Rattus norvegicus: one gene and its partner. The protein of the gene in region 2 binds, or shares a complex with, the protein of the main gene of each other region. Links are inferred from orthologs where the notes say so. Each region holds a gene or a part of one and is shown on either strand. Other genes may lie near its edges.

What was found.
Region 1: the proteins of Oprk1 (region 2) and Pdyn are in contact, whole or in part, in a cryo-EM structure (PDB 8F7W), measured with the Homo sapiens proteins. The link is inferred for Rattus norvegicus from reciprocal best matches to the Homo sapiens genes OPRK1 and PDYN. Residues at the interface, in NP_000903.2 of Homo sapiens: Thr111, Gln115, Trp124, Val134, Ile135, Asp138, Tyr139, Met142, Lys200, Glu209, Cys210, Asp216, Tyr219, Lys227, Val230, Phe293, Ile294, Glu297, His304, Ala308, Leu309, Tyr312, Tyr313, Ile316, Tyr320; in NP_001177821.1 of Homo sapiens: Tyr207, Gly208, Gly209, Phe210, Leu211, Arg212, Arg213, Ile214.

The regions. Positions count from the first base shown.
Region 1 is NC_086021.1:137,363,390-137,367,677, forward strand, and holds the start of Pdyn (proenkephalin-B preproprotein), read right to left. Parts: upstream 3,115-4,288; 5' UTR 2,955-3,114; intron 1,742-2,954; 5' UTR 1,681-1,741; intron 1-1,680.
Region 2 is NC_086023.1:18,658,662-18,662,477, forward strand, and holds part of Oprk1 (kappa-type opioid receptor), read right to left. Parts: intron 3,076-3,816; coding exon 2,543-3,075; coding exon of another isoform or gene 2,456-2,542; 3' UTR 1-2,455. UniProt on the Homo sapiens protein: G-protein coupled opioid receptor that functions as a receptor for endogenous alpha-neoendorphins and dynorphins, but has low affinity for beta-endorphins.

The DNA of each region.
Region 1 (4,288 bases), on a different chromosome or scaffold from region 2:
TGAACAGAAAATGAGCCAACCTGTTGTTCAGCAAATACCAAAGCATGGACATAGGAACAGGTCTTACCCAAAGGTCACCTTTGCAGTGCAGAGACAGACAGAAACACAGTCCTGCGGTACCGACCGGCATGGTCAGGGTCTCAGTGAAAGCATTAGCAGTGGTTTTAAAGGAATGTTTCTCAGCTGTCGGGTTTGTTAGGAATCCCCTACCTTACTGCCATTTGGAACATTTATTAGATAAGGAGAAATGCAAAAGGAAAATGAGAGGGTAGGGGGAGAGAGATGAAAAGTCAGAGGGAAGGATCACTGGGGGTGGGGGTGGGGGGCAGAGACAGCAGGAAGTGAAGATGATGGGGAAGTGGATGAACCGGAAAGAGAGGGGAAGGGCAAAAGCCAAGGTCGTCTCCTGCTCCTCCCCCAATCTGCCCCTTGAGCTATATAATACCTGCCCGGTAAACCTTCATCAAGTTAAATAGAATAAGACTGGAGAGAGGCAGCTGAAGCCACTGCAGACACTCTGAGGATGTTCGCAGCTAGTGGCTAAGCAATCAGGCCAGTGGAGAATCGGGGTACGGTGAGGAGCACCCGCCTGAGCATGTCACGTGCTTCATAGATATGACCACTGAGCTCCTGTGGGAGTGCGGAGTGGGATCCAGGCTGAGCTGCAAAGGACTTGAGGGCGCAGCTCAGTTGAGGTTACATCTCCCCAACTGTGGTCAGCTGTGTGTTGGTTCCATTGTTTTACCACCTTGTCAGACCCAGTGAGATCGGCCAATCACTGATCAGCCAAGAGGAGCAAACTGGGGAGAGAGACCATCTGCTGACCACACCTTCTCAGACCCGCACTGAAACCAAAGCAGCCACTTCAGACCCCTCGGAGAATGAGGGAGAGATCTGCTCAATGGAAAAGTTGTGCCAGGATAACTGGAGGTGGGACGGAATGTCGGGGAGGCGGGGAGCAGCAGATAAAGCAATGGCGTCATGTGTGGGAGTGGGGAGAGAAATAGTTGACTTTTGTCAGGTTTCCCTGGGAGAGAGCACAGCAGGATGGATTGGGATGACTGACGAGATCGAGATCGACGTCTTACAAGAGAGGGGGGAGGAGTTCATTCTGAAGCCTGACATTTCGAGTCACCAGAGAGGTGGCCATAACAACATTTACTGAATGCCTACCAAATACCAAATACAGCCTCCCATGGGAGCCTTCGCAGTGACAGAGGGGAAAGAACATTATTATTATCTTCGTTATATTGGTGAGGAGATTAAGACCCTAAAAGGGAAAGGAATTGTTGCAAAGTTATACACACAACAAATAAAGGATGGCTATTGGGTTTAAATTAAGGCTCAGGTGTGGTCACACACACTTAGGTAATACATGGGAAATTCCTGAGGTAATGCTCCGAAAGTCCTGAGAATTATCCTACCCTTCCATGCGTTCTCTCAAACAGCCCAGACCCAACCACTTGAGTAGCCTAAAGGGTCAAAACAGTGGCTCCTACCACACAGTTTCCGTGGAACCGTGGAACCGCTGATACCGCACTCCCAGCTGCCAGCTACTCCTGGAGACAAGGGGAGTCACCTGCCACCCATCACGCTTAGCACGATGAGGACAAAGCAGTGGGCTCAGGATTGTGTCAATAAACACACGCACACACATGCACACTCACACACATCACTCACCCTGCTGGGGCTGCTTCAAGAGCTCCCCCCACGCAGATCTCAAAGCCTGTGGATGAGTGACCTGCAAAAACAGAACAAAAGACAAAGTGGGGTGGGATGGGAGCACCGGTGAGGGGAAGAGGGAGGAGGGTTAGCAGAGCGTAGGCGTAAAGCCCCCATGACAAGGAACAGAAAAGGACTGACATTCTGAAAGGTTTTGCGACAGATCTTGACAACAGTGCCTGCCAGATTAGAAAGACATCAGTGTATATTTCATCAACCCTTGGTGAGAATGAAGGTCTGCTGTCTGTGGGAGGACATTTGAAAAAAGACCCAATAACCTAAAGAGCTTGGAGGCTTTATTAAGGGATACTTGTAAATCTTGAGAGGTTCTCAGAAAAAGAAAAAAAGAAAACACACACCCAGGGAAAAGTAACAAGATGCAGACTTTACTGTTCAGTCATGGAGTTGTGTACAGCTGCCTTCTCTGAAGCTCGACAGCTTTTTACTGATGTCAAACTTTGGGGGTTCCACAAGACTTTCTTTAAACATGGGCGTTGCTATCAGAGAGCCCATGGCTTTCCTCAAGCTTCCTCCAGCCTAACTAGCTGCCTCCAGCAGTAAAGTGGCTGTGATTTACAGGAAAGCAACAAGTCCTTTCAAAGTAAAATTTACAAGGGAAGTCCTCCTCAGACTGGGTATCCAGCTGAGCTCTCCCTGTTCTTCCTAGTTCCCTTTCAACCAAACAACCCCAGACTTCATTCTGAGTGAAATCAAAGGAAGCCACTCAAATCCGCACCTTGTTGGTGATTAAACATGATTCAAAAAGAATGAAAAGGACGGCACTCATTTATGCGTTGATGGTGTCGATCCGGTGCTTGGCAAATGCCAAGTCCTGAACCTCATTAATGTTCCTAGCCCGTGTAATTTAAGTCCGGTGAGAAAGTGAACCTTTAAGAATAAGGCTAATTAGTGAAACCTCTTGGTCTTCCACACAGGATGCCCCCTTCTCCTCAGACCCTGAAAACTAGCATAGGGACTGCTGTGTGGCAGAGCCCACACACCGCTAGCACCTGTGGAAGCCAGGACTGTTCAGGACATGGGTTCCAGAGGACAGGCAGCTCTTTGGACTCGCTGACCAGGCTCTTGTAAACTAGCCTTGAAACTATGATTTCCTGTGCTGAGTTCCAGAACCAAACCTAACTTCCCCCAGCCCAAGCTCCCACAGGTTCCCTCACATAGCATCAGGAGCACATGCATGAAGCCAGAAACGCTGAGCTCCCTGCGGATCTTACCTGCGTGCTGCTTTGTCGCTGGCAGGCTTCTGGCTGATCAGGTGATAGGATGGCCGATCCAAGATTCAGAAGGAGCCCTGACGCTAGCTCAGAGAAGTGCCACAGAGGAAGCCTTGAAGGCTACCAAATCCCCCTATGGCAGTTCTGTGAGCCTTACTCCCTCCCCTTTTATAGAAGAGAGTCTCCCCCCACTGTCGCTCAGCCCGCTCAGCGCTCGCTCACAGAGCACAGGCTGCCAGGAGCCAATGGGGGAGTGGCAGTCAGAGCTCAGACCCCCGGGTCCTTCCACTCAACTCCCTGGGCCTGAGTGAAACACAATAGCTGCTCCAGGTGATGTGATGTGGAGGAGGATGCTCTCGCGCAGTCCGGGGGTGGATTCTCGGTGTAGCGCTGTTTGTCACTTCAAATTCGGCCACTTTGAGCATTTCCAGGAGAGTCTCACAGGAAAACAGAGACAAAAGTAGGAGAAAGGCAGAGATGGGAGGAGACAGAGAGAGAGATAGAGAGACGTAGAGAGTCCAATCGAAAGGCAGAAAGAAAGTTTGGAAACAGAGAATGGAAACAGAGAGGCAATGTCTGAGACACAATGAAGCATAGACAAAGCAGGAGGAAAAGAGAAAGAAAGCACCACAGCCGCAGAGGCTAGCAAAGATCGGCAGATAAAGAACAAGGAGTCGGAGGAGAAATGCTGGCACAAGAAACGAAGGCTGTCTCAGAATATAGGGACCAAAGGATGTCCTGGAGTGTCCAAAGCAGAGTTCTTGGTTATGGAAGAGGAACATTCAGCTCCATGTTGGCAGGGACACACACACACACACACACACACACACACACACACACACACACACTCACACACACACTGGCATGTGTATGAATGTGCATTTGCCTGAGAGTGCCAGTTGACCAGTTGACTTGGGCACCTGTCTGAGTTGATGCCAGGCACTGCTCTCCCTCACAACCAGGGGCAGCCATTCAGTTTTCAGTTGTCTCTGGCAGCAACACAGACTAAATAGCATGAGATGCCCCTCAGAACAGCAGCTCTGATGTGCCCTTGTGTGGCTCTGGGGAGGAGCAGATCTGCCTCTCGTGAACCCTCCACGGAGTTATGAGCGGCCTGGGGGTTCTGGGTGGCTGCACACACCTCCCAGAATACCCGTGTCTCTGAGTTTGGAGGAAAACATGCTCTGTGTCAGCAACAGAGCTGGTCCCCTTGGTTGGGAGAGTGTCAGAGGCTGGCTGGATGGTCCATGTCGTGAACACCTGGGTTGTACCAGGCAGGGAGCAAAGATGTCAACTCTAACTCTGATGTCCTGGCCAGGTGCAGCAGCAGAGGC
Region 2 (3,816 bases):
CTATTCTTCACTTTCAACCTGAGGGTCATGGGGAAGCTCAGAATAGATCTCAATGGCAGTAAAGCTATTCTTGTCCCTTCCATGGGATTCAAACTTATGTATTGGAAAGTGCAGGAAACAGAGATATTAGGAGAGCACATGGAATGATAAAGAACTCACCATTCTAAGTCCATCCTGAGGTGATGTGATAACCACATTGTGTTTTGCTTTGTTTTTCTGGGGAAGAATCTATAAGCATCTTCTGCATCTTACTATACTGTAGAGGCTTTTCAGAAGGATTTGTTCAGGAACTGCTTTGTCCAAATATATATATCTTAACTATATTAGCCAAAGTTTTAAACTATTGGGTTAATATTTCCCAATATTTAAGTCATTCTTATCTATATATCTAGTTTTAAGAATGCAAGGATGGTGACTCTCTCTTATAAGAAAGCTGTACTCTGGGCTGGTAAGATAGCTCAGTGAAGGTACATGCTACTCGACAATGCAGGACAGCTGATGTGCGTACCATCCCCAGAACATATGTGAAAGAAAGAGAAGAGAAGTGACTGTGCAAAGCTGTCCTCTGACCTCTATATGCATGCCATAATGCATGCCCTCACATGAATAATAATAATAATAATAATAATAATAATAATAATAATAATATCAACAGCAAGTTTTAAAAGAACTTTGTGTCCACTCTAGGGCATGTCCCTCTTTTATATGTCTTTTGTCCTCTGTCAGACTTCATGCTTAAATCTACATTAATACCTGTCTCTTAATAAGTTCTAGCTATGTGTCATTACAAAAGAATTCCAGAGCATCAAGGTATTCAGTGAAATGTAAGAAATACTCAAAAGAGCATTTAATCTTCACTATGAAATATCTCTGCAATGTCATTGTCATTGAATTCAGCTGCATAAATGTCTCATATGGAGTTAAACATAATGGCAGTGACTCTGGAGAGTGTGTCATACCTTTATACAGGCCTCCATCTCCAGAAAGTGAGGGAACAACCCCCGTGAGACAGCTGGTGGTGAGAACTTACAGATGGAACTGTGCCTACAGTATCCAGGTTTACACATCAGATCATCTATTAGCCCCCAAGGGGTGCTGCCCTAACCATGTGCAAGCTGAAGAAATAGATGTTATTTTTAAATTATGCCTTTCTTCTTTCAAGGAAAATTGTCAAAAACAAAACAAAACAAAAAAACCCTCTTATTATCTCTGAACTATAAGTTTTGAAGGAAAGAATGGAGAATTTATATTCATTTGGAAGATTTAGCAAAAGTATCCTAAATGGGCTTCTCAGATAGTAACTTCCACAGGTACCCTCTTACTCAATACCATGCAAATTGTGCTAAGCCATCTCAAATCCTATTTCCTTTTTCAGCATGCATTTTGAAACAATTCCACTTTCTGTGGAAAGCCAGAGCATAACATTTGAAGGTGTACATGATCAAAGCAACTTCCTCTACCTGAGTAGAGAATCTGGCAATATGTGTGTGTTTACAAACAGATGCTACCACAAAGTAGATTTGATCAATGCTAACACTTTAGAATGAATTCAAAGTTTGGGGAATTGTTAACACCAAGTTATGATCAGTGTTAGAGTAAATGATGTTTGAGTAATCTAGTAGAAATCACACCAAGACCAAATCAAGAAAGTAGCTTATAGTGAAGCAAAATATCCCAGCATGAACTTTCCATGCCTCCAGGGGTGTGTCTACGGCATCCTTGAGAAATGTACAGGCTGGACAGGAAAACCTGGTCCTTATTTATATACAGACCACTATTTACAGATGAAATTACACACACTTTGCTGGTATTTAAGCTTCAACCTTTTAATATCAGTTCATGTTTTCTCAGAAGATTATCTTCCTGAATAGCATGCTAAAAACCAGAGACCTTAAGAAGCAACTGTAGTTTTTCGAGGCATTAGACACTGTGAGACGAGAACACCCACAACTTTAAATAGGTTCACAAATGTCAATATGGTGCTCTCCCCCAGTGTCAGGGTCTGAGTCCAGGTTCTTCCTAAGTTTCACTCTCATCACACATAAGACATGATCACCAGCAGAAAGTGAGTTGGATATGACCCTTGGTATGGCCTCATTGTATACGAAGTTGGTTTTGCCTGTGTTAACGCGAAGGTTGGGTGCCCAGTAAGTTTTGGATCAAATGCACTTTTTCTTTCATTTTCTTCTCTAGAGCTTTGGAACTATGTTACACAGAAAGGCCACGCAGATGGAGGTGCAGTAAATCAAGGGGCCAGAAGAAAGAGTGCTGTCTGTTTATCGAAGGGTTGAGATTAGATTGCCTTCTCCTCTGTCCTAGGAAAGAGGTGTATTGTTGCCAGGACATGTGCTCTGTTCTTCACACTTGCTGCCCCTACTCAGCTAGATCACTAATGTGCCCTGCACCTTTAGATTGCATAACATGGCTAAGTTATTGAATACCTCATCTTTCCTCTTCAGACTGCAGTGGTAATCTGGGTTAAACCAAGATCATTGAACTCTTCTCTACCCGGAGAACAATAGGAAGACATTTCCATGACTAGTCATACTGGCTTATTCATCCCACCCACATCCCTCATGGAAGCAGGATCCTGAACTGTGTTTCTAACTCTGTTTGTGCTCTGGCGCTCCATTCGCATCTTAATGGGGAAGCAGAAGTCCCTAAAACACCGCTTGAAGTTTTCATCAAGAAAGGCATAGAGAACAGGATTCAAGCTGCTGTTGGTATAACCCAAGGCAATGCAGAAGTAATAGCTAGAGAGGACAGCTGTGCTGTGGGAGGTGCTGCCTAGAGCCTCGACCAGGATAAAGATGTGGATGGGGGTCCAACAGATGATGAAGACTGCAACCACTACCAGCACCAGCTTGGTGATCCGGCGGAGATTTCGGTCCTTCTCTCGAGAGCCCGAGAGGAGCCGGACACTCTTCAAGCGCAGGATCATCAGGGTGTAGCAGACAATGATGATTAAGACAGGGATAACAAAGGCAAAGACGAAGACACAGATCTTCATGAAGAGGTCCCACCAGGAATATTCATCATCAGGAAACTGCAAGGAGCATTCAATGACATCCACATCTGCCAGAGGTGACCAGAGACAACAAAATGACAGAGAATTCTGTTACTGTCTGTCCTGTGACTGCAGTGTTATACATTAACCACTCCCTTTGTTTTCACAGGTCCAGATATAGTGAGATAGTACTGGAAGGAGAACAGCAAATCAGAAATTGATGGTCCACTATATTGAGTAGTCAATAAAAAAAAAGTTTCTTCAGAGCTGTTGTCAAACACAGAGTGTTACGAAGAATAAACAAGCAAAGCTGGCTAACAATATATTCATCCAGCTGTGAAGGTTGTCTTGACATTTGTGGCTTTCAGAGGAGCTAAACTGTTTACTTTTATTGTGGTACATATTTGTATTTTTGTGTCTTAACAATGTTCCCACACCCACAGCTCTGACAAGAGTTAACATTTTTAAAAAAGTCACCATCTATTTCTGATAAATGACTGAACATTTTTAATCTCTCTACTGGATTTAACAAATACCAACTTGTCTTAAAACATCAACTGTTTATGTGGGTCCATAAGAATTGATAATGAAATATGACTAAATATGACTCAGGTGTTGTGATTTAATAGTATCACTCAGCATCATTGAAATGTGAACAAAAGCTTGAAAGGTAAATGAAAACAAACCAAGAGAAACCAATAAGCATCTACTTTAATCTTTGTGTTACTTCTTATGTGAAAAGATTTAAAGTACAGTTTAAAAACCATCACCATTGTCAGAAAACAAAATATTAAACAACCTGGGTGGGT